Linked DNA regions of Canis lupus familiaris. The protein of the gene in region 2 purifies or fractionates together with the protein of the main gene of each other region. This does not show direct contact. Links are inferred from orthologs where the notes say so. Each region holds a gene or a part of one and is shown on either strand. Other genes may lie near its edges.

What was found.
Region 1: the proteins of tubulin alpha-1A chain (region 2) and HAX1 purify together in Homo sapiens (affinity purification with mass spectrometry; 3 studies listed by BioGRID and IntAct, with this or other methods). This does not show direct contact. The link is inferred for Canis lupus familiaris from reciprocal best matches to the Homo sapiens genes TUBA1A and HAX1.
Region 3: the proteins of tubulin alpha-1A chain (region 2) and TCP11L2 purify together in Homo sapiens (affinity purification with mass spectrometry; 3 studies listed by BioGRID and IntAct, counting the BioPlex papers as one, with this or other methods). This does not show direct contact. The link is inferred for Canis lupus familiaris from reciprocal best matches to the Homo sapiens genes TUBA1A and TCP11L2.
Region 4: the proteins of tubulin alpha-1A chain (region 2) and BAG2 purify together in Homo sapiens (affinity purification with mass spectrometry; 4 studies listed by BioGRID and IntAct, with this or other methods). This does not show direct contact. The link is inferred for Canis lupus familiaris from reciprocal best matches to the Homo sapiens genes TUBA1A and BAG2.
Region 5: the proteins of tubulin alpha-1A chain (region 2) and DNAJB6 purify together in Homo sapiens (pull-down; 3 studies listed by BioGRID and IntAct, with this or other methods). This does not show direct contact. The link is inferred for Canis lupus familiaris from reciprocal best matches to the Homo sapiens genes TUBA1A and DNAJB6.
Region 6: the proteins of tubulin alpha-1A chain (region 2) and DNAJB11 purify together in Homo sapiens (affinity purification with mass spectrometry; 3 studies listed by BioGRID and IntAct, counting the BioPlex papers as one, with this or other methods). This does not show direct contact. The link is inferred for Canis lupus familiaris from reciprocal best matches to the Homo sapiens genes TUBA1A and DNAJB11.
Region 7: the proteins of tubulin alpha-1A chain (region 2) and IRS4 purify together in Homo sapiens (affinity purification with mass spectrometry; 3 studies listed by BioGRID and IntAct, with this or other methods). This does not show direct contact. The link is inferred for Canis lupus familiaris from reciprocal best matches to the Homo sapiens genes TUBA1A and IRS4.

Annotation. Positions count from the first base shown.
Region 1 is NC_049228.1:42,956,551-42,960,847, reverse strand, and holds the start of HAX1 (HCLS1-associated protein X-1), read left to right. Parts: upstream 1-1,497; 5' UTR 1,498-1,605; coding exon 1,606-1,658; intron 1,659-1,724; exon of another isoform or gene 1,725-1,870; intron 1,871-2,123; coding exon 2,124-2,422; intron 2,423-2,552; coding exon 2,553-2,746; intron 2,747-3,618; coding exon 3,619-3,670; intron 3,671-3,797; coding exon 3,798-3,904; intron 3,905-4,029; coding exon 4,030-4,120; intron 4,121-4,268; coding exon 4,269-4,297. Other genes in the region: UBAP2L (ubiquitin-associated protein 2-like), read left to right, coding at 45-140. UniProt on the Homo sapiens protein: Recruits the Arp2/3 complex to the cell cortex and regulates reorganization of the cortical actin cytoskeleton via its interaction with KCNC3 and the Arp2/3 complex. Slows down the rate of inactivation of KCNC3 channels. Promotes GNA13-mediated cell migration.
Region 2 is NC_049248.1:41,239,328-41,243,368, forward strand, and holds the start of tubulin alpha-1A chain, read right to left. Parts: upstream 2,801-4,041; 5' UTR 2,703-2,800; coding exon 2,700-2,702; exon of another isoform or gene 1,849-2,699; intron 591-1,848; coding exon 368-590; intron 228-367; coding exon 79-227; intron 1-78. UniProt on the Homo sapiens protein: Tubulin is the major constituent of microtubules, a cylinder consisting of laterally associated linear protofilaments composed of alpha- and beta-tubulin heterodimers.
Region 3 is NC_049231.1:33,395,493-33,398,992, reverse strand, and holds part of TCP11L2 (T-complex protein 11-like protein 2), read left to right. Parts: intron 1-1,462; coding exon 1,463-1,598; intron 1,599-3,500. UniProt on the Homo sapiens protein: Promotes the migration of muscle-derived satellite cells (MDSCs) during differentiation throught interaction with FMNL2 and therefore may participate in microfilament assembly.
Region 4 is NC_049233.1:24,636,079-24,639,155, reverse strand, and holds the end of BAG2 (BAG family molecular chaperone regulator 2), read right to left. Parts: intron 1,919-3,077; coding exon 1,506-1,918; 3' UTR 501-1,505; downstream 1-500. UniProt on the Homo sapiens protein: Co-chaperone for HSP70 and HSC70 chaperone proteins. Acts as a nucleotide-exchange factor (NEF) promoting the release of ADP from the HSP70 and HSC70 proteins thereby triggering client/substrate protein release.
Region 5 is NC_049237.1:20,540,879-20,544,378, reverse strand, and holds part of DNAJB6 (dnaJ homolog subfamily B member 6), read right to left. Parts: intron 893-3,500; coding exon 783-892; intron 1-782. UniProt on the Homo sapiens protein: Has a stimulatory effect on the ATPase activity of HSP70 in a dose-dependent and time-dependent manner and hence acts as a co-chaperone of HSP70. Plays an indispensable role in the organization of KRT8/KRT18 filaments.
Region 6 is NC_049255.1:19,370,402-19,373,901, reverse strand, and holds the end of DNAJB11 (dnaJ homolog subfamily B member 11), read right to left. Parts: intron 2,971-3,500; coding exon 2,913-2,970; intron 1,791-2,912; coding exon 1,679-1,790; intron 1,390-1,678; coding exon 1,230-1,389; intron 480-1,229; coding exon 415-479; 3' UTR 46-414; downstream 1-45. UniProt on the Homo sapiens protein: As a co-chaperone for HSPA5 it is required for proper folding, trafficking or degradation of proteins.
Region 7 is NC_049260.1:82,901,730-82,905,984, forward strand, and holds the start of IRS4 (insulin receptor substrate 4), read right to left. Parts: upstream 2,801-4,255; 5' UTR 2,798-2,800; coding exon 1-2,797. UniProt on the Homo sapiens protein: Acts as an interface between multiple growth factor receptors possessing tyrosine kinase activity, such as insulin receptor, IGF1R and FGFR1, and a complex network of intracellular signaling molecules containing SH2 domains.

The DNA.
Region 1 (4,297 bases), on a different chromosome or scaffold from region 2:
ACCAGACACCTTTTTCCTCCTCCTCATCATCCCATTCCCTGCAGACGGGCAGCGGGCAACGTAGCCAGACCAGCTCCATCCCGCAGAAGCCCCAGACCAACAAGTCTGCCTACAACAGCTACAGCTGGGGGGCTAACTGAGGCCTGACCCCCCTCCTGCCCGGCAACCACGGAAACGGCATCAGAGAGAGAGGAAGGGGGGGTTCCGCTGCCCCTACCTCCAGTGTCCCACCCTATGCCTCAGCTTCATGTCTGTCCCGTCCCCATACCACCCCTACTCTGTTGTATGTATTATAGGATTTGTATTTTCTCCTTTTTTTTCCCCCTTTCCTCTCCTCCTCCCCCCTTGCATTCAAGATTATGAAACTTTGCTGTGGGCCCCGCCTTCCTTCTCCTCCTGTTCACCCTGGTGGTGTATAGGTGAGGTGGGGCAGGGGGACCCCCAAATATATATCAGCCCAACAGCCCTACGTCTCCTCCTTTATTATTAGGAAACAAAACAACAACAAAATGGCGTCATGAATATGAACAGCATTGTCAGATGAATTAGTTGAAGTGTTTTTTTTTTGTACTGTGTCCTCGAATTTAATGGATTAATGTGTCTTGTATATATAAAAAGAAAACCTCTACCTTCAGCCTCTGCCCGTTCTTGCTCATTCTAAGACAGTCTGGTCAGCCAGCTCGGTGAATGAATATTCCGTTCCAGCTGGGCCCCTGGCAGGCTCTGGAGGCCCCAGAATAAAGAGAGCTTCTGCCTTCACCTGCCCTGCTGGGATTCCCTCTCCTCCTTCCCCAGGGGCTTCACAGCCTAGAAGGAGCTGCTGCAAATTTTCATTTCCTCCAGAAGCTGCTTCCTCTGCAGATTTCAGGCTGTGACAGGAATGGACAGCAGACACAGGGTAGAAAGCTGGAGAGTGGGTTTGGGGAGCGGTCGTGTACTGTAGATGGTCCAGGACAATGGTGGGGGGGCATGCAGTTCCTGCTTCTTGAGTGCTGCCGGCCCCTTGAAAAGGAGGGGTCAGGAGACCAGGGCCGGGGTGCAGGGAGGGTGGGGGCGCAGGAAAGGAAAGGCTTGAAAGTCAGGGGGCAGGCAGAGGGTTACTTACAGCTCCAAACTCCTCCCCCGGCAAAGCTTACGGGATTTCCCCGGCTCTCTTGCCAAGCCTGTGCCTGCAGGCTGCAGAGCCTGCCTAGGGCAGCTAGTATCGGTCACGGTCACCGCATGCCCGTTGGCCGGGGAGCGCCAAGTCCGAGCATCCCCAACCGACCCGTGGATTCAAACGCCGAGCCTGGAGCACCTGCCGCACCGGCTCGCTGGGCGGAGGCTGCCCCCTGGCGGCGGCGGCCGGTCCCGGGCAGGAAGGCGGCTTAGGGTTCCGGGCCCTCGCCCGCTCCCTTCGCGGGCAGGGGGTGCGGCTCGGGACCGGGCGGCGCCCCGCGCCGCCTGCGCCGAGCAGACGGTCGTGTTACGACAGCGTGCCGCGCCGCCTGCCTGCTTTCCGGCAGGCGGCCCGACGCTGCTCTCAACTTCCGGCGGCGGAGTGCAGCTGCGGCCAGGTGCGAATGGGCCTCGGTGGGGTCTGCAGGTTCGAGTCCCAAAACGGGGATGAGCTTCTTTGATCTCTTTCGGGGCTTTTTCGGCCTTTCTGGACCTCGGAGGTTAGAGTGGGTCGGGGTCGGACGAGGGTGGGGTCTCCTGAGGGGAGCTTGATCTCTGACACCCAGTTCTTGGGAAGCCGTCCTCTTCGTCACTCCTTCACCAGCTGCGGAGAGGACAGAAGTCAGCACACTGCGCACTCGCCCCGCGGCGGTCACCTGGGCGGCCGCTGAGAGGAGGACTAACCGCAGTTTAAGCCTTTCTCCAGTCTGGGGTGATGCAACAGGGGCCTGGGCGGGAGAAACAGTGGGGGCCGGGCGGGGGTGGGGCGCGGGGGGCGGGGGCACGGCCTGCCCGCGAGGTGAGGACCGACCCTGACACAGACGGAACCCCGACGGCGCCCCGCCAGCCTCACTCCCGCACCTCGGTGCGCAGACCTCTGCCCTTGGCTCCTCGGCCACCCGGAGCTGATTGTGCGGCCGAAGGTGTGGCTGAGATTCTGGTGCTCAATCTACCTTCACTCCCAGCCACAGAGATCCCTTTTTTGGAGGGATGACTCGAGATGAAGATGAGGACGATGAGGAAGAGGAGGAAGAAGCAGCCCCGTGGAGCCATGGGAGCTCGAGGTCTGAGGGTCCCCAGACCCCGGAGGAATTTGGCTTTGGCTTCACCTTCACTCCAGGAGGGATGCGTTTCCATGATAACTTCGGCTTTGATGACCTGATTCGTGATTTTAATAACATCTTCAGCGAGATGGAGGCCTGGACCTTGCCTTCCCGGCCTTCTGGTGTGTGGCTGCCCCTGGAGCACCTCTGGTTTCTCCTGGGTTAGTGGGTGAAGCCAGGAGCCTGAAGAGAGTAGTGGGGGTGGGAAGTGTGAGAAGAATGATAATATCAAGGCTGTGAGGAGCCCAGGTCCTCTCCCCCCCCCAGCATCCATCTGCCCCCTTTTCCCAGAACTTCCAGGTCCTGGTCCTGAATCAGAGACACCTGGTGAGAGACGACGGGAGGGACAGACACTTCGGGACTCAATGCTTAAGTATCCAGATAGTCACCAGCCCAGGATCTTTGGGGGGGTCTTGGAGAGTGATACAAGAAGTGAATCCTCCAAACCAGCACCAGACTGGGGCTCCCAGAGACCTTTTGGTCTGGTGAGTGCTTCTGGGCCCCAAGTGAGAGCCTGCAGGAGGTAACTAATAAAGCACAGACTGGAGCTTGTCAGAATCTAGCAAAGTTGGGTTGGGATCCTAGGTTCTCCACTGTCTAGTGTATTTATCTGTTTTCTCTATTAAGCTCCTTGTAGGATTGGGCGGAGGGGGCGCATGAGGGTGGGAGTTCAGCTTTTTTCTCTATTTTTTTTTATGACTTTTTAAAAAAAGGTTTATTTTATTTATTTATTCCTGAGAGAGAGATAGAGGCAGAGACACAGGCAGACGGAGAAGAAGGCTCCATGCAGGGAGCCCGATGCGGGACTTGATCCTGGATCTCCAGGATCACGCCCCGGGCTGAAGGCGGCGCTAAACCGCTGAGCCACCCGGGCTGCCATATAACTTTTTTTAAAGATTTTATTCATTTATTCATGAGAGACAGAGAGAGAGAAGCAGAGACACAGGCAGAGGGAGAAGCAGGCTCCATGCAGGGACGTGATCCCAGAGTCCTGAGATCCAGCCCCACATTGGGCTCCCTGCTCTGTGGGGAGTCTGTTTCTCCCTTTCCCTCAGCCCCTCCTGTACTCCCTGTCTCTCTCAAATGCGTAAAACCTTAAAAAAAAATCACCAGTCTGTATGATTCTGGGACAAGACGGATTGTTGGATAGGATAGAGTGTCAGTTGAGGAGAGCCTTTTGGTGGAAAGATAGATTGAACGGGTAGGACAGAGAAAGGGGTGAGTAAATAAAGCTATCCTGAGTGGAATCCTCTGTCCCAGGGGAAAAGTAGTTACGGAACTTAGGAATATTTTGGATTCTGTGACCTCTCAAGTTTCAGATTGAAAGGTATCATTTCACCTATTTTGCCTTCTACAGTTTGATGATATGTGGCCTGTGACCCCCCGTTCTAGAGCCAGAGAAGACAATGGTGAGTCTGGAGGGAGGGGACATTTAACGTACCCTTTGTTCTCTCTCCCTTACATTTCTTCTTGTCACACTTGGCCCCTTCTTTTCCTTTGGACTTTTGATTTCGTGTTTCCTCTCTGCCCTTCTAGATCTTGATTCGCAGGTTTCCCAGGAAGGCCTCGGCCCAGTTCTGCAGCCCCAGCCCAAATCCTATTTCAAGAGTGTCACGGTGACTAAGATCACTAAGCCAGATGGGGTGAGTTGGAAGAGGAGTAAAGGGAAATGTGGCCAGAGGATGCCATGGAAGAGCAATCTATATAAAGAAACCAGTGAGCTCACTTCTATTGATCTTAGAGATATGGTTGGGGTCTCTCCTTGTAGACAGTAGAGGAGCGCCGGACTGTGGTGGATAGTGAGGGCCGGACAGAGACCACAGTAACCCATCAAGAAGCAGATGGCAGTCCTAGAGATGGTAAGTAAAGTTTGTGAATCAAAAAGGTCCATCTCTTATTTCCTTGGGCAAAAAACACACATACTTTTTCAGCCTTTGATATTCTTCTCCTTGTCCACTGCCCATTCTTTTTCATTTAGTGTGTCTGTATGTATCACTTTCTCCTTAGATCCAGAATCACCAACACCTCCAGCCCTG
Region 2 (4,041 bases):
ACAAAACAAAACAAAACATCGTATCTCAAATGTCTTCCTTCAGATCCTTATTTACTTTATTCTTGAGAATAAACATACCAGTTTCCGAATTCGGTCCAAGACAAGGTCAATGATCTCCTTGCCAATGGTGTAGTGCCCTCGGGCATAGTTATTGGCAGCATCTTCCTTGCCTGTGATGAGCTGCTCAGGGTGGAAGAGCTGGCGGTAGGTGCCAGTGCGAACTTCATCTGGAAAAGGAAAACAAGGTGGCCACCCATCACTAACAACCTGCATGACCCTGCTCAGCCCCAGGCTGTCAGTGGAGCCTCAGACAGACCTCCTGTCCCAGTGCCCCGGGAGCTCACTTGGGTTACTGAGGCCAACTCACCAATGACTGTGGGCTCCAGGTCTACAAACACTGCCCTGGGCACATGCTTGCCAGCGCCCGTCTCACTGAAGAAGGTGTTGAAGGAGTCATCTCCTCCCCCAATGGTCTTGTCACTTGGCATCTGGCCATCGGGCTGAATGCCGTGTTCCAGGCAATAGAGCTCCCAGCAGGCATTGCCGATCTGGACACCTGCCTGGCCAACGTGGATCGAGATACACTCACGCTATGGGAAGGAAAAGAGGAAAATTGTAAATTAGGTTGTGGTAGCATTTTGAATTTTTAGTTAATTTTTGAAAATATTTCTAATAATATACAGGTATTCTTCAGGTTTAGTTGAGATTATCCCTAATTCAATAGAAATGATTAAGGAAAGCACCTGCTACAAATGCTGCAGATGGGTGTGGTCTGAATAATAATGTTGCACTGTTTCGCACATGTGCAAGCCCATTGTTTCCAGTCATGCTTAAATATAATTTTTTTATTTAAAAATATTTAAAGCACGGATTTTGTAAAATGAAGCAAATTAAATTTAATCATTAATTAGTTGGAATCAATATTACTATTCTTGCCCCTTTAAATAAGAGTTTCTTCTACATATGACTTGGTATTTTAACATGGACATCTGTGCTGCAGCTGAAGCTAGATGCCACACCCCTTTGCAGTGTATCTGCAGAATCCATTAGTACTAGGGGATTGGAAGCTAACAAGGTCTGCCTCCTGCACTGCTGCATTGCTGCATTTGCTGTGCCTGGTACTAGCCTATTCTGTCTGCTACATTATTTAACAGAGTAAGTTCTATTTCCAGAAACTGCCTACATGATCTCATTGTGCTATTAGCCAGTTTTCCTTCTGTGACCCGGGCTGGGACCATATGCCTAAACTGAAATGAATTAATGTAGATTCACTAGAACAAAAGACAGCTGAACAGAGAGTACATAGTTCTTTGTCTGCAGCATTTTCATTACTTAAAAAGATGTCCTTCCAGAATCTTCTCCACTGCAAAATAAAAAAAAAAACCCTGAAAAATTATTAGAATCTTTAAAACAATAGTTCCTAAATTAGAAAAGTATCAGAGGACCTACCTAAGAATAAAAGCTCAGTGCAAGGATAATGAAATATTTATTTAAAATAATAAAATAGTATTTTCATTCTGAGATTCTCTACTCACCACAGAATATTTCTACTCATCACGTTGAATAAGAGATTTTCTTCCCTATAGTCTTTATGGCTACAGCTTCCATTGTCTAGCCATTGTCTATTCACTGACATTTGGGCGGGGGTTGGGGGCGGGGGGGTGGGGTGGGGAAGGGCGTTTCCCTGGGTCCTGGGCAGTAGGGTACCCTGGCTCTCAAAGTGAGCTTTTTCTCTTGCTGGACGTGCCGTGCGGCTAGCACACAGACAGACAGACAGACACATACACACACACACACACACACACACACACACACTCACTCCAGTCAGGGCGGGGTCGCCCCAGACCAGACTTTAAAGGGCTTGTGAAGAGAACTGTGATTTTGCATCTCAAGAAAGAAATATTTCATCTACGTTTTAACAGTGAATGAAAAACCTTTTAACGCCTACAGTTCCACAACGATGAAAGGCTTTTAATAAAAGTCTCCGACAGAGGAGGCTTAGAGAGGACGAGCGAACCCCGCCCCGCGGCTCCAAGGCCGGAGAAGCCAGAAACAAACAACTCCGCCCCTGCGCCGCCCCGACGCCGGCTGCCCGGGGTTCCAGCAGAAACTAGCCATTTTCCCCCGTGCAGACGCGGGTATCTCCCTAGAACGCCACCGACCCCGGAGCGATCTTCTTCCTCTAGCCCGGGGCTGCGCTTTGTCCCGCTCCTCTCCCCCTCCCCCTGCCCAACTGCACCCGCCGCGCCCGGGGCTGGGGGACCTCTTCTCGCCCTCCCCCTGGGACCAGCGCCAGGAAGAAAAGCCTGTCCGAGCCACACATACACCGGGGCCGCCTTTCCCTGCCCCAGATCCTGTCGTCACCGACAGACGGGCTGCTCGCGGCTCGGAAGGGCTCAGATAACAAGGACTCGCTCGGCGCCGCCTTTGTTCTTCCCCACGGTTCTGCTGCGCCCCGGGCGCAGTCCTGGCTGCGCTCCCGCACCCGCACCCGCACCCGCACCCCGCGCTGCGGCGGCGGCCGGGCTCGAGGATTTGGGGCAGCGAAGCTACACCTCGCAAACAAAGCATAAAGGCTGACCCTTACCCAAAGAAGCTGTAAAGGAAAGAAGGAAAGAGGGCTTCAGGTTTTCCCAGCAGATCTTGGGGGACTGACCCCACCCAAGGGCCACAAAGAGCCAGAGAAGGAAGATTCTTACCATGGTTGCTGCTTGGCGGCTGCCGGGCGGATGGCGGAGAAGAGGAGAGGTTGTTGCTTCTTACAGCGCGACTCTTAGGCGGTCGATGTAAGAGAACCTGCGGCACATGGGCGGATGCGGCTCCCTATATACAACTCGGTCACCATGGGGATGGGCTGGGGCCTTTTCCTGTTGGTCCAGACCCCCTCAATCTGCCCGGAGAAGTCACGACAGGAGAGTGGTGATTGGTGCAAGCAACATGGGATGAGGTAATCTCTCCCCCACCCCTTTTTCCCTAGCATCCATAGACTGTTTGCATCCTCCAGACAAAGAGACTGTGCAAAAACAGTCAGCCGAGCATCCATGATGGGGTGGGGTTGGGGGGCGGGTGGAGAAAAGAAGAAAGAAAACTTGAATTGGATGATTTTGCTATTGCTTAAACCTCACACTTACAGTTAAAATCACCAGTGTAGGTTTTTTTTTTTTTCTCCAACACTTAGATCGCAGAATTTGTGTTCACATGAAATATTTGATGGAAAATTACTCCCAGCTCCTCTCTCAAAATATACTAAGTTCTACCACATTCGGTGAGGCTTCAACGTCTCTAATTGCTTTATAGATAAAGTAGGAGAAAAGATGGGAATGATGCTTAAAAAGGCTTGGGTGCATGTGATTTTTTTTTTTAATATAAAAAGAAGGTTCAGTAATAGAGCCATCCAAAATGGCTTTTGAGGTTCAAGTAATTTATCTTCAGACCTTCTTTTGCACCCCTCCCCCAAATAGCTAAACAAAAGGGAGGATGGAAGAAAACCATACTAAATATGGAAGCACACAAGTAGTTCTAACACGGTGATAATTAAGATCTAAGAAACCTACTGTAGTTAAATAGTCTACTAGAAATACTCTTTTACCAGAAGTCTGTGTGATTACTATATTTTATGTAGTGTATTATTCCTTAAGATGAATCATCTTTCCTGATAACAGAATTGAGAAAATACAAGGAGTTCAGAAACTAGTTCTAGTACCTGTGCATGCAGTTATTCTCGGCATTGTTCTCCCCGCCCCCCGCCCTTTTTCTGGAAAGGAAGAGAATAACTAAGACATCAAATTTAAAAGGAGAGCTGTATAATGTAAGAAAGAAGACATTTTATAATTTTGTCTCCATCCACAGACAAGTTTGTCAGCTCGATAACTGCATTTCTTTTTTTATGTAGTTCTTGTGTGAATTCAGTAAATCTTCTCAGAGATTGGACTTCTAACTGTGGGAATTGTAGACAGCCTCACACCGTTGCTATTCAACTAGAGACTGTGGTGGTTGCTCAATTGCCTCTTGGGACAAAAAGGCTTTGCTTTCAGCCCTAGG
Region 3 (3,500 bases), on a different chromosome or scaffold from region 2:
TGAAAGAATCTTAATGGCACAGAGAATTGAGAAAAGAATTGACTAGCAACCACCTAGCTTTCTGTGCTTTTTCTCACTCTTTATACTACATATGAGGTTGGTGCCTCTAACAGGGGACACAGGCATCCTAAAGAGGGGAAGTTTCACTAATTCCATGTATCACCGTTTTTCCCTTTCTCCCCCTCCTCTTCTAGATGGTCTTCCTCTTCCTTCTCTTTCTCCTCTGCTTCTTTAAAAAATTATTTTAGGTAGCAAAATATTGCCAGCCAGTACTGTTGTTTGAGGCAATGATTTTAATTAATTGAAGCTAAGAATTCCAATAGTGATTTTTAAAAGATTTTACTTTGTTAGAATTAGAATAATTTTTTAGAATAATCTTTAGGGGTAATTAGAATAGGGACACCTGAGTTGCTCAGTGGTTGAGCATCTGCCTTTGGTTCAGGTCATGATCCTGGGGTCCTGGGATTGAGTCTCACATCGGGCTCCCTTCAGGGAGCCTGCTTCTCCCTCTGCCTGTGTCTCTGCCTCTCTCTCTGTGTCTCTCATGAATAAATAAATACAATCTTTTTAAAAAAGTAATTAGAATAATTCTTTATTTACTACTTCCTACTGAGTAGATTATCCAGCTTACCAGATTAATTTTATTTTAATTATCTACATTTATGAAGTTCTTACTTTGTTCTTTTTTACTCAAATTACTTTACTTAATCACCTCAACACAGCCCTGAGGAGGTAAGTTATGCCGTAGTGAAGTCAAATAATATCTACCAGCAGTAGAAATTGGAATTAAACCTAAACATTACGCTATACTGCCTATACTTTTAGAAGTTGTAGTTTTAAAAAAATCAGTTATTTCATCTTGTCTGCTTAAATTAATGAAAGTTACAAATGACAGAATAAAAGTAGTCTTACCAAGTTCCTGCATATTACTGCGTAATAAGTGCAGATACCAAGAGGTACTAAAATGTGACATGATTTAATAAAAGAAAAGTAACTTATGATAGCTTATGTTAATAAGATAATTTCTAAAACATTTGAGAATTTGGGCAGTCCTTGTGGCGCAGCGGTTTAGCGCTGCCTGCAGCCCAGAGTGTGATCCTGGAGACCCGGGATCGAGTCCCACATTGGGCTTCCTGCATGGAGCCTGCTTCTCCCTCTGTCTGTCTGTCTGTCTCTCTCTCTCTGTCATTCATGAATAAATAAATAAAATCTTAAAAAAAATAAATAAAACATTTGAGAATTTATTATTAATACAGTAACTGAAACTATCAAAGGAGTTTTTGAATTTTTGAAGTCTTAAGTAATTAGCAGGGAAATCTACCTAATTTAGTATATGGTCGTCTTAACTTGTAAAACTCTGAATGTATATATTAGAATAACTTAAACTCTGTTTGCTTCGGGAGGCTTCATTCGATGGTAGCTTTTCCTCCATGACATGAACTGAGGCTTGTTTTTCTTTCAGCAACAAGCCCTCCCAGGGTCGTAACATTTGACGAAGTGATGGCTGCAGCAAGGAACTTATCAAACATGACACTTGCTCATGAAATTGCTGTAAATGAGAATTTTCAATTGAAACAAGATGCCCTCCCTGAGAACAGGTAACCCAGAGGCCTTTGTTTTATGTAAACCAAGCTGCGGAGTCTGTCTGTCTGTCTGTTTCTCTCTCTCTCTCTCTCTCTCTCTCACACACACACACACACACACACACACACACACACACACGTTCACACAGATTCCTAGAAGTCTTGTATAATAGCCACTGGGAATAAAAATTGGTTAGTTCTCTAACAGGATCTTATACTTGTTTTTAAAACCATTCCTCTAGGTAAAAAAAAAAAAAAAATAAAAAAAAAAATAAAACCATTCCTCTAGGGTACATGTTACCCATAATCTTTAGAACTTAGCTTAAATGTCACTTCCTGAGGAAGCTTTTCCTGACATATCAGAGCATACTAGTTTACATTAAATCCCCTTCCTAAATACTCCTATTGCCCCTTTTTGCTAAGAAGGCTTATAATTTTATGTTCAGTATCTGTCTTTATTATGTGACCAAAGCACCATTAATGGAGGAACTATGTCTATATTGTTTGCTGCTCTATCTCCATTGCCTGGCAGAATGCCTGACATATAGTACATGCTCAAGAAAGTTTGCAGATCGACTTCTTAAAAACTGATATTCAAGTTATGAAAGATAAATAAATGTAGCTGAGCTGCCAAAGTCCTAAGAATAGGTGACTCAGAAACATCTGAAGATAGGAATTACAACTACATGGGCACCCCTGGTTAACCTCACTGCCCCCGGCCCCAACCCTCCCAACCCTGAGACCTCTAGTTAGAGCCATGCTCTTATATCCTGCCTCAGCCTCTCTGACTTTGGTGGCTTATAAATCCCCTCGGACAAAGAGGAGAAAAGGTTTGAGGTCATAACTACACATAAATCACCTTTACAGGCATAGTTAGCTCATGAATAATGACACTGAATCTTCAACCTCACAGTGTCATTTATAAATTTAGAGGCAGGGGCAGCCCCGGTGGTGCAGAGGTTTAGCGCCACCTGCAGCCCGGGGTATGATCCTGGAGACCCAGAATCGAGTCCCACGTTGGGCTTCCTGCATGGGGCCTGCTTCTCCCTCTGCCTGTGTCTCTGCCTCTCTCTCTATCTCTCTCTCTCTCTCTCTCTGAATAAATAAATAAATAAATCCTAAAAAAAATAAAGTAAAATAAAAAAATAAATATAGAGGTATTTCCTCTATCAATTAAGATAGCATATAATATTCGATCCTATTTGGAGCTTTTATGTTTATTTGTTTTAAAGCAGGAAAATAGCAACATCATAATTTTCCTTCTTCGAAATATGGATCATAGTCCCCTCTTGAGGTTATTATTCATAATAATCATTAATAACTTTTTAAGATTACTGGCCAAAATAGTTGTATCTGTTTGGTTTTCTATGGTAACTGCATTTTACCACAATTCTTTATACCAGCTCTAGTACTACACTCTTAGGCCCAGCCACCATCATTTCTGACCTGGACTCTGAAGTCCTAGCAGGTTGTCCTGGCTCCATCTTTGATTCCCATGGTCCATCCTCCATATCCACATGGTAGCCAGAGTGATCTTTCAAAAGGGTTAATGAGAGTAGGTCATTTCTTTGCTTAAAATCCTTTAATGGTTTTCTATTACACTTAGAATAAGAACTCAAACCCCTAGGCAGCAAGGCCCTACTCCCAACTGTGTCTCTTCTTTCCCTCCTGCTTGCTATGCCTCAGGTGCTCTGGCTTCTATGCTGACCTTGGAGTACACCAGCTTTATCCTGTGTAAGGACTTTGTCCTCCTTTCTGCTTTTTCAGTGTTGTTCCCTTAGATTTTCACTGGCTGCTTGTTTGTTCCTCCTTCAAGTCTCAACTCAAAGGTCACTGTGTTAGAGAAGTTTTCTTCAACCACCAGTGAAGTTAGCAGCTTCCCCATCACTATCTACCACACCGTCTTGTTCTGTCTTC
Region 4 (3,077 bases), on a different chromosome or scaffold from region 2:
AATCAAGAAGCTTTGCCACAGTTATCAAGGAGAATGAATGTTTCCTATGAAATGGAAAGATTTAAATGAGGCAGGCTTAGCAATGGCAATCAAAAACATAATGTTCTGAGATTGTAATTGCTTCTTATGAAGAGAGACTAATTTGACATTTTTGGCCAAAAAATGAAGCTCAATGTTGTTTGCATTGAGAGATCTAAATATATAAAGCCAATCTGGATGTTGACTCCCCCACCCCACCCCCCAATGTGAAAGAATACCTACGTTCCCATGAAAACGGGAGTCTGATGTATTCATTTTGAAGAAGTATTTGAGGGGGAGTTAAGGTTTTTGTGTATCAATAGCATTAGTTACTTCAAACAGAAGTGTTCTAAAGTTGCTTCATTTATCACAGTAATTGAATAATCAATACATTGGTTAGCCTTGTTAGTAAACAAACGCAAACTAAATTAAGGTGTTTCTTATCTATTGTTAGGAAAAAATAACACTCAATTCTGGAAAACTTCTAGTGAAACAGCTACACTTTAATTACTGAAGACAGTATAAATTGATGTAACGTTTGAAAATGTATATATACCTTTGACCCAATAAGTACCACTACTGGGAATTTACATAAAGAAAATCAAAAACAAAGAAGGAAAAAAGTTTCTGTATATAAATATGTTGCAGGAATAAGCAACAAATTAGAACAATCTAAAAGTCTAGTAAGGGGAATAGGTAAGTAAATTATACAACCATACAGAATAGAGGTTTTAAAGTTGACAATTAGACTTTATAGCATTTTTTTTCAAAGGCAAGGTACAACACTGTATTTTTTGTAATGATTAAAAATTTAGAGAAATTATGCACTTGGAAAAAGATGAGGTGGACATATAGTTGTTCACAGTGATAATATTAGAGTTGAATTCTCTCACACTTTATGCCAAGTTTTTATATAATTCAAGACTTATATTCATATTATCAGATGCATAAATCTTAAATTCAAAATAATTTGATAGATGTCCAAAAAAAGTGCTTTCTGAAAAAGATAATGTAGGGAAAGTTTCTTACTTTGTGATTTCTTTTGTCCTTTTAAGCACACCACATAGTTAACAGTAGATGTGTGGTGGTAAGTTTGTGTGCTGCCTAAGGTCAAGAATTTCTAGTCAACTTAATGCCCCATGTGCCCGAGTATCTCCATGCCAGACAAAGCCCAGAACAGAATAATGCTTTGTGCCCAGGCTGAGCAGTTACTCTCTTCTATATACTAAGTATTCATCCACAGAATAGTAAAAAATATATATATATTAGGTGCTAGAGCCTAACACAAGACAAGAATCCATTCTAAAAACTTCTAGAAAGATAATTAAAATATTTCTAGTTTTAATTGTATCATTCACAAAACTGATGACACTGGAATATTTTCCTCATCTGAAACAACAATCAATATCAAAGGTTATACCTAACACAAAGAACTAGTGTTTAATCATTTTTATGCCATTATTTTTAAATGCTCTTATGTTTCAAAACTAATTAAATTTGCCTTCAGCATTTTGTTGCAGAGTTTTGGAACCAGCTCCTTTAGAATGCTCTAACAGCTTGATGGCCTTGTCAGAGTTTTCAATATTTCTAAGCAGGGTCTCTAATCTTCTCTTAATTTTCTTCTGGTCTTCAAGAGCACAGCCAATTACTATGGACTGAAACTTCTGGTCAACAGGCCCGGGTGGCACCTCAGATGAACATGCACTGTACAGGGACATCAAGTGACTCCTGGCATTTCCCAAATCATCCAGAAACTTACTGACCACCTCGTCAATAATCCTGGTGGCATGCTTTAGGGATTCTTGCTGCTGGGGGTTTCTGATTGTTTCTACTGAAACTTCAACGGTGAGGGTTCGTCCCATCAAACGGTTTGCTGTCAGATTTAATTCTTCTCTTTCTCCTAAACATGGAAAGTTTGAAATATCAATCAATACGAGACATAAACTTACCTATATTGAAAACATTTAGGCATTCATTTGTGGCTAAAGTTATTTTCTGTAAGCACCTTGGCTACAAAATTTTTAAATGTAAAAGTCAAAATTATAGCACATAAGATTAACTAATAAACTATATTATATTACGGAGAGAGGTTGCAGAATACCTTTCCCTGAAAGTCTATTTTTTATTATTTCCTTTTTTTTATTATTTCATTTTTTGAGAGAGAGGGAGAGTGAGCACATATGTGTGCAGGTGGGAAAGGGGCAGAAGGAGAGGGAGACAGACCATCTCAAGCAGGCTTCACGTGTAGCGTATGAGCCTGATGTGGGGATTGATCTCACAACCGTGAGATCATGACCTGAGCCAAAATCAAGAGTTGGAGTGCTTAATGGACTGAGCCACCCAGGCACCATTATCTGACAACTTTTATTTATTTATTTTTAATTTTTTTACTTTTTAATTTTTTATTTATGATAGTCACAGAGAGAGAGAGAGAGGCAGAGACATAGGCAGAGGGAGAAGCAGGCTCCATGCACCGGGAGCCTGACGTGGGATTCGATCCCGGGTCTCCAGGATCGTGCCGTGGGCCAAAGGCAGGCGCCAAACCACTGCGCCACCCAGGGATCCCCTCTGACAACTTTTATACATGGGATACCAGATGACTTTTCCAAGTGGGCACGTTTGAAAAAGTGTGGGCAGGTATGCATTTCTAACTCGGATGGAGATCAAGTCTTAACCTAGAGCAAATGGCGTGCATAACCAGGGTTTTGTGCTGGTTACAAGAGATCAGATGCAGTGGATCTCTTGATAAGGATGTGCATGTAGGGGAGGAAAAATAATTTTCCCTGTACCTTTCTGAGTTCTTGGCTGAGAAACCCTGTAATAAAAGACAGATTAACAAGAAAAAAAGCAGAAGCTTATTAACATGTATACTTCACATATACATAGCAGAATTTTAGGGACACTGAGATGGCCTCCCTCTCAGATGGAGAGCCCAAGCCACCACCTTAAAAACCATCTTCAGCTGAGGAGTAAGATGTTGAGGGAGGCCTTCCCCTCTTTAGTGAGGTTACCAGTAAAAGCAGGATAAACCAGGGAAGGGTTGCTTTGCCTTTGGCGTA
Region 5 (3,500 bases), on a different chromosome or scaffold from region 2:
ATAAAGATGCTCCACGTGTTATTAGCAGCAGTGGAAGGCAAGTGGCGGTTAAACAGATTTCCTCTAAACTCAGAACTGCCTCTCACTGACGATCCTGCCAGAAGGATATACTTGGAGGAAGCACCCACGCCCTGCAGCCAGTAAACCTCACTGGTGACCCTGACCCCCTGTGGATACACTTGAAGGAAGCACTGATGCCCTGCAGCCAGTGAACCCTACTCCAACCTTCTGGGTACCCTGCCTTGACTCACACCAGGTCATTCAGTGCTCCTTCCTGGCAAAGCAATGTCAGTACATTTCCAGTCTTCTAACAAACCTCCACACTGCTCTCCCAAACCCAGGGCCCACACACACTTTTCTTCACCAAGGACCTGCTGATTGAATCTAACAGCTCACCTTCCACTTGATTTGTGAAACCAGGCTAATGGATCGGACTTTTCAAAAGCCTACACTTTCCAGTATCTATGCTCTAGACCCAGGGGCGAGGGAAGCAACACCTCAAAGTCTGGAGACGCAATGACCCAGATGGAGTCCTACACTCTGATCCATCCTGTCAGTCCTCAGATCAGTGTCAGTAACTGTTTAAAACAGCCATCCTGAAAGAAACTGATAGAAGCAGGGTACCCACAGCACTCACGGGTAACTGTATCAAGGATCTGCCAGGGACATGGGTCAAAGCTTCACAAGGAAAGAAACTTTTCTCCATGCCCAAACCTCAATTAGCCAAATCCATACTCCACTAAGCCCTGGGGAGAGTCCGAGCTCTGGGTAGGTTAACTCACCATCTGATAACACCTCATACGCCTCAGCTACTTGCTTGAATTTCCTCTCTGCTTCTTCTTTATTTTCAGGGTTTTTATCTGGATGCCACTTTAGGGCCAGTTTCCGGTACCTTGGAAAGAGTAAAAGGGCACTGGTCACTTCCACGTGCAGGTCACTTCCATGTGCAGAAATCCAACGGCTATGAAACATCACGAGGTTCATAAACCTGTGCGATGAGGGTCAATTCAGGAGTAAAATCTCCCTTTCCCCCACCACAAGACAAAGAAGTTCTAAAATCCACACAGCACAATACAAAACTGAGAGATACAAAAACATGGCAACATTTGAGGATCAATGTGTGCAGGTGAACTCCTGGTCGTGCAGCTGAGAGAGCAGAGGCAGAAGGCAGCCTTGGTAAGGGGCCAAGGGTCCAGCACCACAGCCCTGGTCCCCAGCCTGTCGCCTCCCACAGCAGTATGGCAGGGGTGGGCTGTAGCAGCTCCATTTACAAAGCCACCCCGTTCTGTGCTCAAGACTCACTGAAGCCTCCAATTAACAGTAACAATTACAGGGATTTATTTTTTTAAAAAAATCCTTTTTAAATACGATAAAAAAAATCTCTTCTACTTAACTAAACATCAGCACCACATATGATATGAGGTGGGGGCGGGCTAGCGGGGGAGGGGTAGGCCCTGCAAAAGCTAACATGAGGAACCAGGCAGTCCTCCTCACACCTGCAAGTTGTTAACATAAGGCTGTTGTGGTTCAATTTAACATTTTAATCAAAAACCTTGGCTTGAACTTCTTAAAATCTGGTTAACACTGGACTCTACAACACTAAAACAATATTTTATCTTTCTATCACCATGGACCTCAACATGCAATAAGCAGACCAAAACCCCTGAAATGCAACAGATCCTGGGCAAAAATTGACAGACCATGTAAAAGACCAAGGAGAAAGAACGGTTCATTTGCACTAGTGTGCTCTTTGAAAACAAAGAATGTAGCAGAATCCAGGGTAGCTTTATCTGTACAGGTTTTATGAAAGACTACTCAATCTTCTTTGGATTCCAGGCACAATCCATGAAATGGGAAGAGTATCGGATGTCTTTTAGCATCAGCCTCTGGACTGAAGTGTGACTTCACAGCAGTACTTGAGCACCAACGCAGGCAGGCTAACCCGTGGAGCGAGGAAAAGCACAGGGCCTGGGACACAGAGCCAGGTAAGATTGTAGGTTCCTCAGGAGAAATGGTGAGAGAGAGCAGCCACACACAGTTACTCCTCCAATAGAAGCTTTTCTGGTCACTACGCATGAACAAAGCCTAGAATCCACAAAATGGACTAAAAACATGCACCACTCACAGGTGCAGTTCTGCTCATTAAAAATAAATAAGGGGGGATCCCTGGGTGGCGCAGCGGTTTGGCGCCTGCCTTTGGCCCAGGGCGCGATCCTGGAGACCCGGGATCGAATCCCACATCAGGCTCCCGGTGCATGGAGCCTGCTTCTCCCTCTGCCTGTGTCTCTGCCTCTCTCTCTCTCTCTGGGACTATCATAAATAAATAAAAATTTTTTTAAAAATAAAAATAAAAATAAATAAGGCTAAATCCAGCCTAAGTTAGTATTAATTTAACTGCACACTTAATGGGAAACCCTTACTCTATTTACAGGAAATAGCATTTCCTAAGTTCATACTTCAAAGCATCCTGAAGACGCTGATCGACCCCTATTCTCATAGGTAACTAAACCAACTACTTTCTGTGTTTAGAGTAACAAAGGCATGTTTTTCCAGTGGTTAATAAAAATAAAAATACTGTGGACATACTATTCAGGAAGAATACGATTATTTCCAACTAGCCACTGTTGCCCACGAGCTGTGAGCAGAACTGTTAACAGAAGTGAGAAGCCCCAAGGCCCACTGGTGACAGCCCAAAGGCACTTCCTGGGGGCCCACCTACTTGAATTTCCTGGCTGAGGTTTAACACAAGGATATTCTGCAAACAGCTTCAGGTAGGCTGGCTGTAGCAGTCAGGCTGCTATCTTTAGCATTTTTCAATGAAATATTTGATTCAAACCCCTCAAATGTGGGATACCTGGTTGGCTCAGTTAAGCATCTGCTCTCCATTTTGGCTCAGGTCATGATCCCAGGGTCACAGGACCAAGCCCCGTATTGGGCTCTGCCTGTCCCTCTCCCCCCTCCCTGCATACAGGCTCTCTCACTCTTGCTTGCTACCAAATAAATAAATCTTCAAATAAAAACCCTTAATTTCCATCTGAGATCTATGAAGTCTAATAGTATAGACTTGTGTATTAATAAAAATGTTTGGGACGCCTGGATGGCTCAGCGGTTGAGCATCTGCCTTCGGCTCAGGGCGTGACCCCAGGGTCCTGGGATGGAGTCCCACATTGGGCTCCCTGCAGGGAGCCTGCTTCTCCCTCTGCCTGTGTCTCTGCCTCTCTCTCTCTCTCATGAATAAATAAATAAAATCTTTAAAAAAACATTTTTTTAATAAATAAAAATGTTGGTTCCTATAACAAATTGAAATTATTCCAAGCTGAGTTTTATTAGTCTCTCCAAGCTAAAATCTGTTTCATAACATTTCTTGCTACACATGAAGGTCAAATGAATTAAATCCAGTTCACCTTGGCCACCTGTGCCCTCAGCCTTGCCCTGTACAGGCGCCAGGCCTGGTCACAAAGGCATGGATGGGTAAGGCTGACAAACCATACCATGGACCA
Region 6 (3,500 bases), on a different chromosome or scaffold from region 2:
AAACCAACAAGAAACAGGAGTCAAGAAAAAAATGACAACAAAATGTATTTAAAAACAGACTTCTCCAGTTGGTATTTTGAATGAAATGGCTAACAATTAACTCCGACCCCTTATATTGTGTTTCTTTTGCTCCTGGAGTCCTCTTGCAGCTTTAATTCTTGAAACTCAGGCAGCAGCACCAGACTTTAAATCCCCAAAGGGAGAGGTATTATTAAACCTTTTGCTGGTCATTCTTTTCTCAACACAAATGGACAAATTCTTAAGCCCTCTTATTCATCTCATGACGATCATTAGGAGAAACAAATTAAGCCAAACTTGCATATTGAAAGTAAGAACAAAAACACAAAAAAACCCTTGTAGATAATAAATATCGCTGATTCACTTATTTTAAACAAAGTCCAATTTTATTCACTCTTAATATCCTTGCAGTCCATTGTATACCTTCTGCACTGATCCTTGGTTCAGAAGCTGTTTGATACCTGAAGAAAGAATAAGTGATTCCATCAACAAAAAAAAGGGATTTCGCTTAGAGTTTAAAGAGATTTCATGGGGAGGCTCACAAAAGGCCCTATGACAACCACAGATCCGAGTTAAACAGATAAATAACCATGTTCAAGTTCATTGAGTGTGGATCCCCCCCCCCCCCATGGGCACACGTATGTCCAAGATGGCACGGCCCCTTATCTCCTTCTGTCTCTGAGGCACACATCCCACAAAACCCTATCAATGAGAAATGAGAAAATGGCAACCAAGCTCTTCAGTTGTCTTCCGTTCCTTCTTCTTTGTCCTCTTTTTAGTTCTGACCTCTTTCACCATTCTCCTTCCTCCTACTATTCAGGATGCACCAACTGGGCCCTTGCCTCAAGTAGCCATTGCTGATGCCACCCATTGTCCTCTAGCCCTTCTAATGTATATCCTTCCCTTTAACGTTTGGTCCAGCTGATTTGTTTTTATGTGATCCCACTTCACGCTCACAGCCACATACCCTTGTTGCCAAAGCCTCTTCACCCAGCCTTTTGTAACATGGTGATGAGATTTTCAATATCTCTTTTATAGAAAGGCAAGTTCATTTCCTGGTCCTGTGTTTGATGCCCAAGGTCACCAGAGTTTGTTTTTGTTGCCTGTCATCTCTAACCACTGTTTTCATACTCACAAACTGCAGACACGACACACACACCCACACACACACACACTCACACACACACACTCTTTCTCATTAGACCTCTCACCTTCTCTTGCTTCCTCTGTTAACTGTTCTTTTGGAAAATCCACATCAAAAGTGATTATCAAAGAGCCCTTGATGTTGTTGTTGTCAAAGTTGGGGAGCCCTTCTCCTTTCTTCCATAGCTTGGCTCCTGGTCTTGTGATCTTATCCCGGGAAATATGTACCTAGAAAGCAAAGGGCAATGGACCGGACTAGGACTGGTACTCCTGAAACACCACACACTGCTGCTAGCATGCACTGGTGTCCAGAGCTCGTATCACAGCTCAGTACAGCAGCAAGGGTGAAAAAGGGACAAGGGAAACACCATTAGGACATTGTGAGCCAAAGAAATAGGTTTCCAAAGGAAAAGAAAAAACACGTAATCTTAAAACCACCCACACAAAGGTTTAAAAAGACAGGTTTTAAAAAGACAGGTTTTAAAAGGATGGGAAGCAGGAAAATTGGTCTGTTTACCTTGTGGCCATCCAAGTGAGTAATATCCATATCAAAGCCCACCAGAGACTCGACTAGTGAGATTGTCACGTTTGTATACAAATCATCTCCTCTCCTTTCAAATATTGGGTGCCTAAAAATAGAACAAGGCAAAAATAAAAAACTCCCATCTTTCTTTGGAAAGTGTTCCAAAAATTTTAAGAAAAATCTTGGTAAAGGATGAATACCACTCTTTTAAACAATGAGCATTTATTAGACACTCCTTTGTGTGTAGCGTTAATTGAAACCAAAAAGTTGTGTTAGGTTTATTAAATTCTATGCTTAAGGAGTTTATAAATCAGCAGAAGGCAACGCACATAAGTAAAACTAAAACTACAAGTAATCATATTATAGAAAAGAGAAAGACAACTTCTGGCAGTGGGGGCTGGGCGATGGGCATTGGAACAGATTTGGGAAGGTCTCTAAGGCTAGGCTCGAGGCCAGGTCAGCTGTAGATGCAGATAAGGTGGGAATGGGGGAGGGTGAGGTTGGAGTAAGAGGGAATTCTGGCAAAGACCAGGACTTGAGAAGGTACCAGGTTTACTCAGGGAACATCACATGTTCCAGGTTTTCTGGGAAGATATGAGAGAGATAAAGTAGGTAAGGAAACTTGGGGAAAAGATCTCTGAGATTAAGAGTGGTAGGAGGGGAAAGTCCTAGGCAGTGGGGGAATGTTTCTCCATATTTACATAGGAAAATTGTTCCAATGAATCCTTAGAAGCAGAAGTATCACTGCTTTCCAAAGTGGTAACAAGAGAGAAATAATAAACAGGAAAGCTTAAGTCCTGGGCAAAATTCTTGTATAATCAGCATTTCATGCTAAAAAGAAGCTGCATATTATGTAACAGAAGGTTCTTTCTATGTAAAGCCTTCCATTCCTTTGTGGTGCCATGCTTGCTCAGTCAAAATCTCAGGTCTCTCCTTGAGTCCCATTCCTGTTTGTCTCTCTTTTACAACTCCTTACTTGTCTTATCAATTCTTTCCTTCCAACATCTTTTGGATTTGTAGGTCCCAAGTAAATATATAACAGTTCAATCCTGGGCCCCAACCCCAAATTTTCAGTATTGCTGTAGTTACAAATGACCAATTAGGTAGTGAAGGGCATGAAACACAGGGAAAAGCCTAGCAGTGTCCTGGTGGCTATCTATCTCTTTCTAATCCAACTCATCTGAAAAGCGGGGCCTAAAGAGAAGGCCTCCGAAATCAGATCACTTACTTGACAACTTTGATTCGGAACCGCAGGTCTCCTGGCTCTCCATCCACATGAGGCTCACCTAGTCAGAAGAGATGATGGTATATCGTAAGTCACACAAGACGAACACTGCAAATCTACCTGTAGTTTAGGAGAATTTTTAAAAGCTACTACCTTAGGTGTGGCCTATCAAGTCTACCTGTGAGAGCAATGTCTCTAACTGGTTATACCAAGTTTCAAATTATTAGTGAAGATCATCTGTGTCTCAGACACAGCGATAAATAACTTGAGCTGTTTCCTAACCAAAGAAAGATTGATTTCTTGAACCTAAGTCTTAAATTTTCTTTTTTTTTTTTTTTTTTTTCAGAAACCTCAAAAGTGAGGTCTGAGAGCATCTCATTAATGCCAACCAGAGCTACATATCTTCTTTCATTACTGAGTTCAAATTAATCCATTAGGGTCTGAACACTCTAAATTTTGATATAACTTAGGCTACTAGATATCCAGTAAGTTACTGGATAGTAACTTTTGACTGTGATGTTCAAAAGGTAAACTGTAATGCTATGGCTTAATGTGAAAATCCATGAAGGTCATATAAGGCTTTCTGTGCCC
Region 7 (4,255 bases), on a different chromosome or scaffold from region 2:
TTTTAGTGAAGTCAATGTTGACGTAGACACTAGAGCTGTCAGCTTCTCTCTGCGCACGTGTGGGCTTCTGTGATTTGGGCTTGATTTTATTTCCTTTTGTAATAAAAGAGAGACGGTTGGGTCTTTTGGCCTTGTTCTTGGGGGGCCCATTATCTGAAGGCTTCCAGCATGTCCCCCCATCCCTAGGCTTTGAGAATGACCCCTCCACTGGAGGCTTTGAAACTGCATGTTTGGGGCCCCAGTTAGACGTGGGTGCCTTGTCCAGGCTATTTCCCAAGAATTTTCCAGGTAACATTGGTACATACTCACTGTGGTCACTCCGTCCCAATGGGGAGCCCTGAAAAGGATTTGGCAGAGAGAAGTAGGAGCTCCAGCTTTTAGAGGAAGAGCCGCCCTGAGGATTTCTGGGGTTTTTTGGAATTGCACCGGCTCCAGGAGCCATAAACATATAGTCACTCTCACTGTCATTGTCCTTTGACTCATCCTCCTTCTCGGGATCTGGCTCTTTCTGGGCACTTGGGGCTGGTGGTGGGCTCATCCTAGGAAACATCATCATGTACCCCCTTGAATCTTCGAAAGGTGATCGAGAGTGGTGTTTTGAAGCAGAGAAGTTTTGGGGAGCCATTGGCATATAATCGCTAGAGCTTGCAAGAGGGGCAGCCACCCCTGGCCTCATTGGCACATAGGGGTCATCCTCATCTTCATCAAAAGCCCTGGCTCTGAGGGGGCCCCGAGCTGCACCTTCTGGGCTGTCTGCCTTGTCCTTGACCTCTTTGGCCTCCTTGCGATCTTTCTGGGCTCCTCTGTCGGCACAAAAATAAAGTCGGAACCTTCCCCCAGACTTCCCTTTACCACCAGTTGCTCCCGCTGGTGGGGGTGGGGGTGGAGGAGGTGGAGGTGGTGGCATCTGCTGCTGCTTGCTTTGAGTTAGTTTGCCAAAGTAGGATCTTTTCTTCAGAGATTTTCCACGGTCACCACTGCCATCGGAAGTCTTCCCACCTCCTGAGCCTTTGCCCCCTCCAGAGTTCTTGCCACGGCGGGAGCCATGGCCATCGCCCGGTCCCTGCCCATCGCCTGAGCCGTGTCCACCTCCGGCTCCCTGGCCGCCGCCAGAGCCGTGTCCACCTGCAGTGCCTTGGCCAGCTCCTGAACGTTGGTTTCCTCCCATACCCTGGCCCCCTGAGCCCTGGCCACCGCTAGAGTCCTGGCCACCTCCAGAGCCCTGCCCCCCACCTGAGCACTGGTTTCCCCCTGAACTCTGGCTACTGGAGCCTTGGCCACTTGCGCCCTGGCCACCTCCGGAGCCCCGGCCATTTCCCGAGCCCCAATTGTTCATGGGCATGTAGTCACCTCCGTTTCCTTCCTGTCCCTCTTGGCCCTGAGGACTCCCTTCATCCCCAGAGTTGCCAGAGCCAGAAGCTTCAGGAGACAGGCAAGCTCTGTCGTTCGGGACTTCGGCGGGATGCGGGACACGCACCGGGCTGGGCGGGAGGCGGCGGCAAAGGCTGGCTGGAACCGAAATCGCTCTCCTGGAGCGGCGCGCTCTGGGCAGGTGCAGTCTTCCTCGCCTGGAGGGGAGCACAGGTTCGCTGGGTGTCATGTAGCGCCTGGCGAGGAGCATCTCGTCTTCCCCGTCCCCGATGGCCCTGAGGTGGCAAAACTGCTCAAAGCGGGACCTTCTCAGCCAGCCACCGGGCTCACGCGGCAGCGTGTCCAGGTGCCTCCTAGTGGACAGCAGGGTTAACAGGTGGGCGCCGATGCTGATGCTGTAGCTGCGGCAGCGGGCTCTGTATTCGTCTGCGCACAGGGCTCTCATCTTCTCCAAAAACAACTCGTGCATGTTTTGGGCCACTACACAGTCATCGACCTGCATCCAGAGCTCCCCGGGACCAATGACGGTGGACCTACCGACCTCCAAGAAGAAGTACTGCTCTGAGTGCCCGCAGCGACGGATGCTCAGGAGCTGGACGACCACGCTGGCCACCTCGGTATTCAGCCTCACGAACAGCACCTCCTCGTCGGTAAGACAAAGCCGGAACACGCCGCTCAGCTCTTTTCGGTGCCCCAGCCCCCTGGGCTTGACTATTACCTGCCACACATCTTTGTAGAAGGGTGGCTCCGCCGCCGCTGCAGCCGCCAGCGCGGTCGGCTCTCCATCCGGCTGCGCGCCGGGCGTGCCGCAGCGGCGGCGCTTGCTCTCGAGGATGAGGCGGCTGAGCAGCAAGTACCAGCTCTCCTGCTCCGACTCGTTCTCGGCCACCATGGCGAAGTACTCGTCCTGGGTGAAGAGGGCGATGAGGTGGCGGTACCTGGCATCGGCTCGCTGGCTCACGGAGAAGCACTGGTACAGGGTGATCACGCGTCGCGGCGGGATGAGCGCGGGGACCGCGGCGCCAGAGGCGGCCGCCGCAGCCGCAGCCGCCGCGGCGCGGACACTGTGCCGGAACTTCCTGGCATTTTCGTAGTATTCCAGCCGAGCCGGGGCGTCGGCGGTCTCGAGTTTGAGCACGAAGTAGCGCCTGTGCCCATGCTTCTGCTTCCGCAGGTAGCCGCGTTTGCAGACTTCGTCCCCGACGGGGAGGTCCTCCTCGTCGGACTCCGAGTCTGACCGGGAGCCAGTGGCCGTGGAGAGCCACATGGCTCCCGGACAAGACGACCCGGTCCCAATGAGTGCGGTCGAGGTGCCCAAGGGGAGAAGTGGGGTGGTCGCCACCACAGCTAGAGCTGCCGCTGTTGCCGCCGCTGCAGCGCTCAGCCTCCTGGTCGCTTGGTCGCGAGCGCAGGAGCAACTCGCCATGGTGATGCACGATGGTTTTAAGGTGAGCGAGCGGTGGGGGGGGGGCCTCGGGGAAGGGAGGGTTGGGGGAAGAGGCCGTCTACCCCTGTCCGCCCGCCCCAGCCCCTCCCGCCTCGGCCCCGCCCCCGCCCACTCCACTCAAAGCGCGCGGCTGCGGGCAAAACAACACGTGACCGCTGCCTCACGCGGCGGCCACTGTGGCTCCAGCTACCGGAGCTGTGGAGGGGCGCGAGCGGCCGCCAGCTAAAGGTGTGCAGGGGAAGGGGCGGCGGGCCCGCCTCCTCGCCGCCGCGATCCCCCGCCCGGCCGCTGCCCCTGGCCCTGGCCTAGGCGCTCGGTGAACCTCCGGGCCTGTGGGCCTCGGGAGGACCGACACGAGGAGGCGGGGCGCTCTGGCCACGCTGGTCCTAACCGCGAGTCCACGAAGGCACGAGGGGGAGGGAGGAGGCGGGGAGGGGCGGAGGAGAGAGCTGCCTGCGATCGGGGCCGGACGGGGGCGCCACGGCTGGGGCTCTATTGGCTGGAGGGGTCGAGGGGTGGTGGCGAGGGCGGAGCGCGGCCCGTCCTGGTAGGCGCCAGGGTGGAGAACTGGCCCAGCCGTGGGACAGTTTGTTTATTTAGGAAGTGGGAGCCAGGTGAAACTGTTGCGAGGTTCTCATTGGGCGGGATGGGAGCCAATGGGAGTGTCCGGCAACGGAGTCAGCCGTGAATTAATTAGTGCGGGGGGCAGGAGGGGTACTGAGGGGCGAGGGGGCGGGGCTTGGGTCCCGGAGTGGGCTCCGCTGTGTGGTTGTCGCGCTCACGGGCGGTAAACCACCCTCTGCAAGGAGCTGTTAATGGTAGTGCTAAACTCGTGCGGGTCCCTGAGCCGCGGTGACCTGGGGACGGCGCCCGGCGCCCTCTTTTTTTTTTTTTTTTTTTTTTAATATCCTCCCTCCCTGTCCCGCACAGAAATTCTCTATTCCTGTCACAGGCGGGTCCCCTAGCTCCCGCCGCGCGCCGGGAGCTGAACGTCTCGGTAGAAAGTGTGGGCACCCCCTCCCCCTGGAATCGTGTTAACGACCGGGGCCCTCAGACCTGCCTCCCACCATGCTGCATGCACTCCCGAGCCCGCTTCAGCCCTGACAAAAGCCCGCGACTCTCAGGCACCCGCACGACAGCCATGCCTTTAAAATGAACACGACCTTTAATCAGAGCCCATTTCTAAGTCCCCCACCAAACGCAGAGTGGCTAGAGATGCATTTTCTGGCTCTTTGCTGAGTGATGTCTACGAAAAGCACGAATTTGGGGGCTTGAAAAGTACACAGCCATGTTGAGAAAACTCGGACTCGGTTCTTACTGAATTACGCCAGAGATGGGCTGTCGTGGTATCTTCCCGTGAGGGATGCTCCGAAAGGCGCCTTTAAGGGAATTTCAAAATAATATTGTTTCCCTTTCCTTGAGCGAGACTGCAAAACT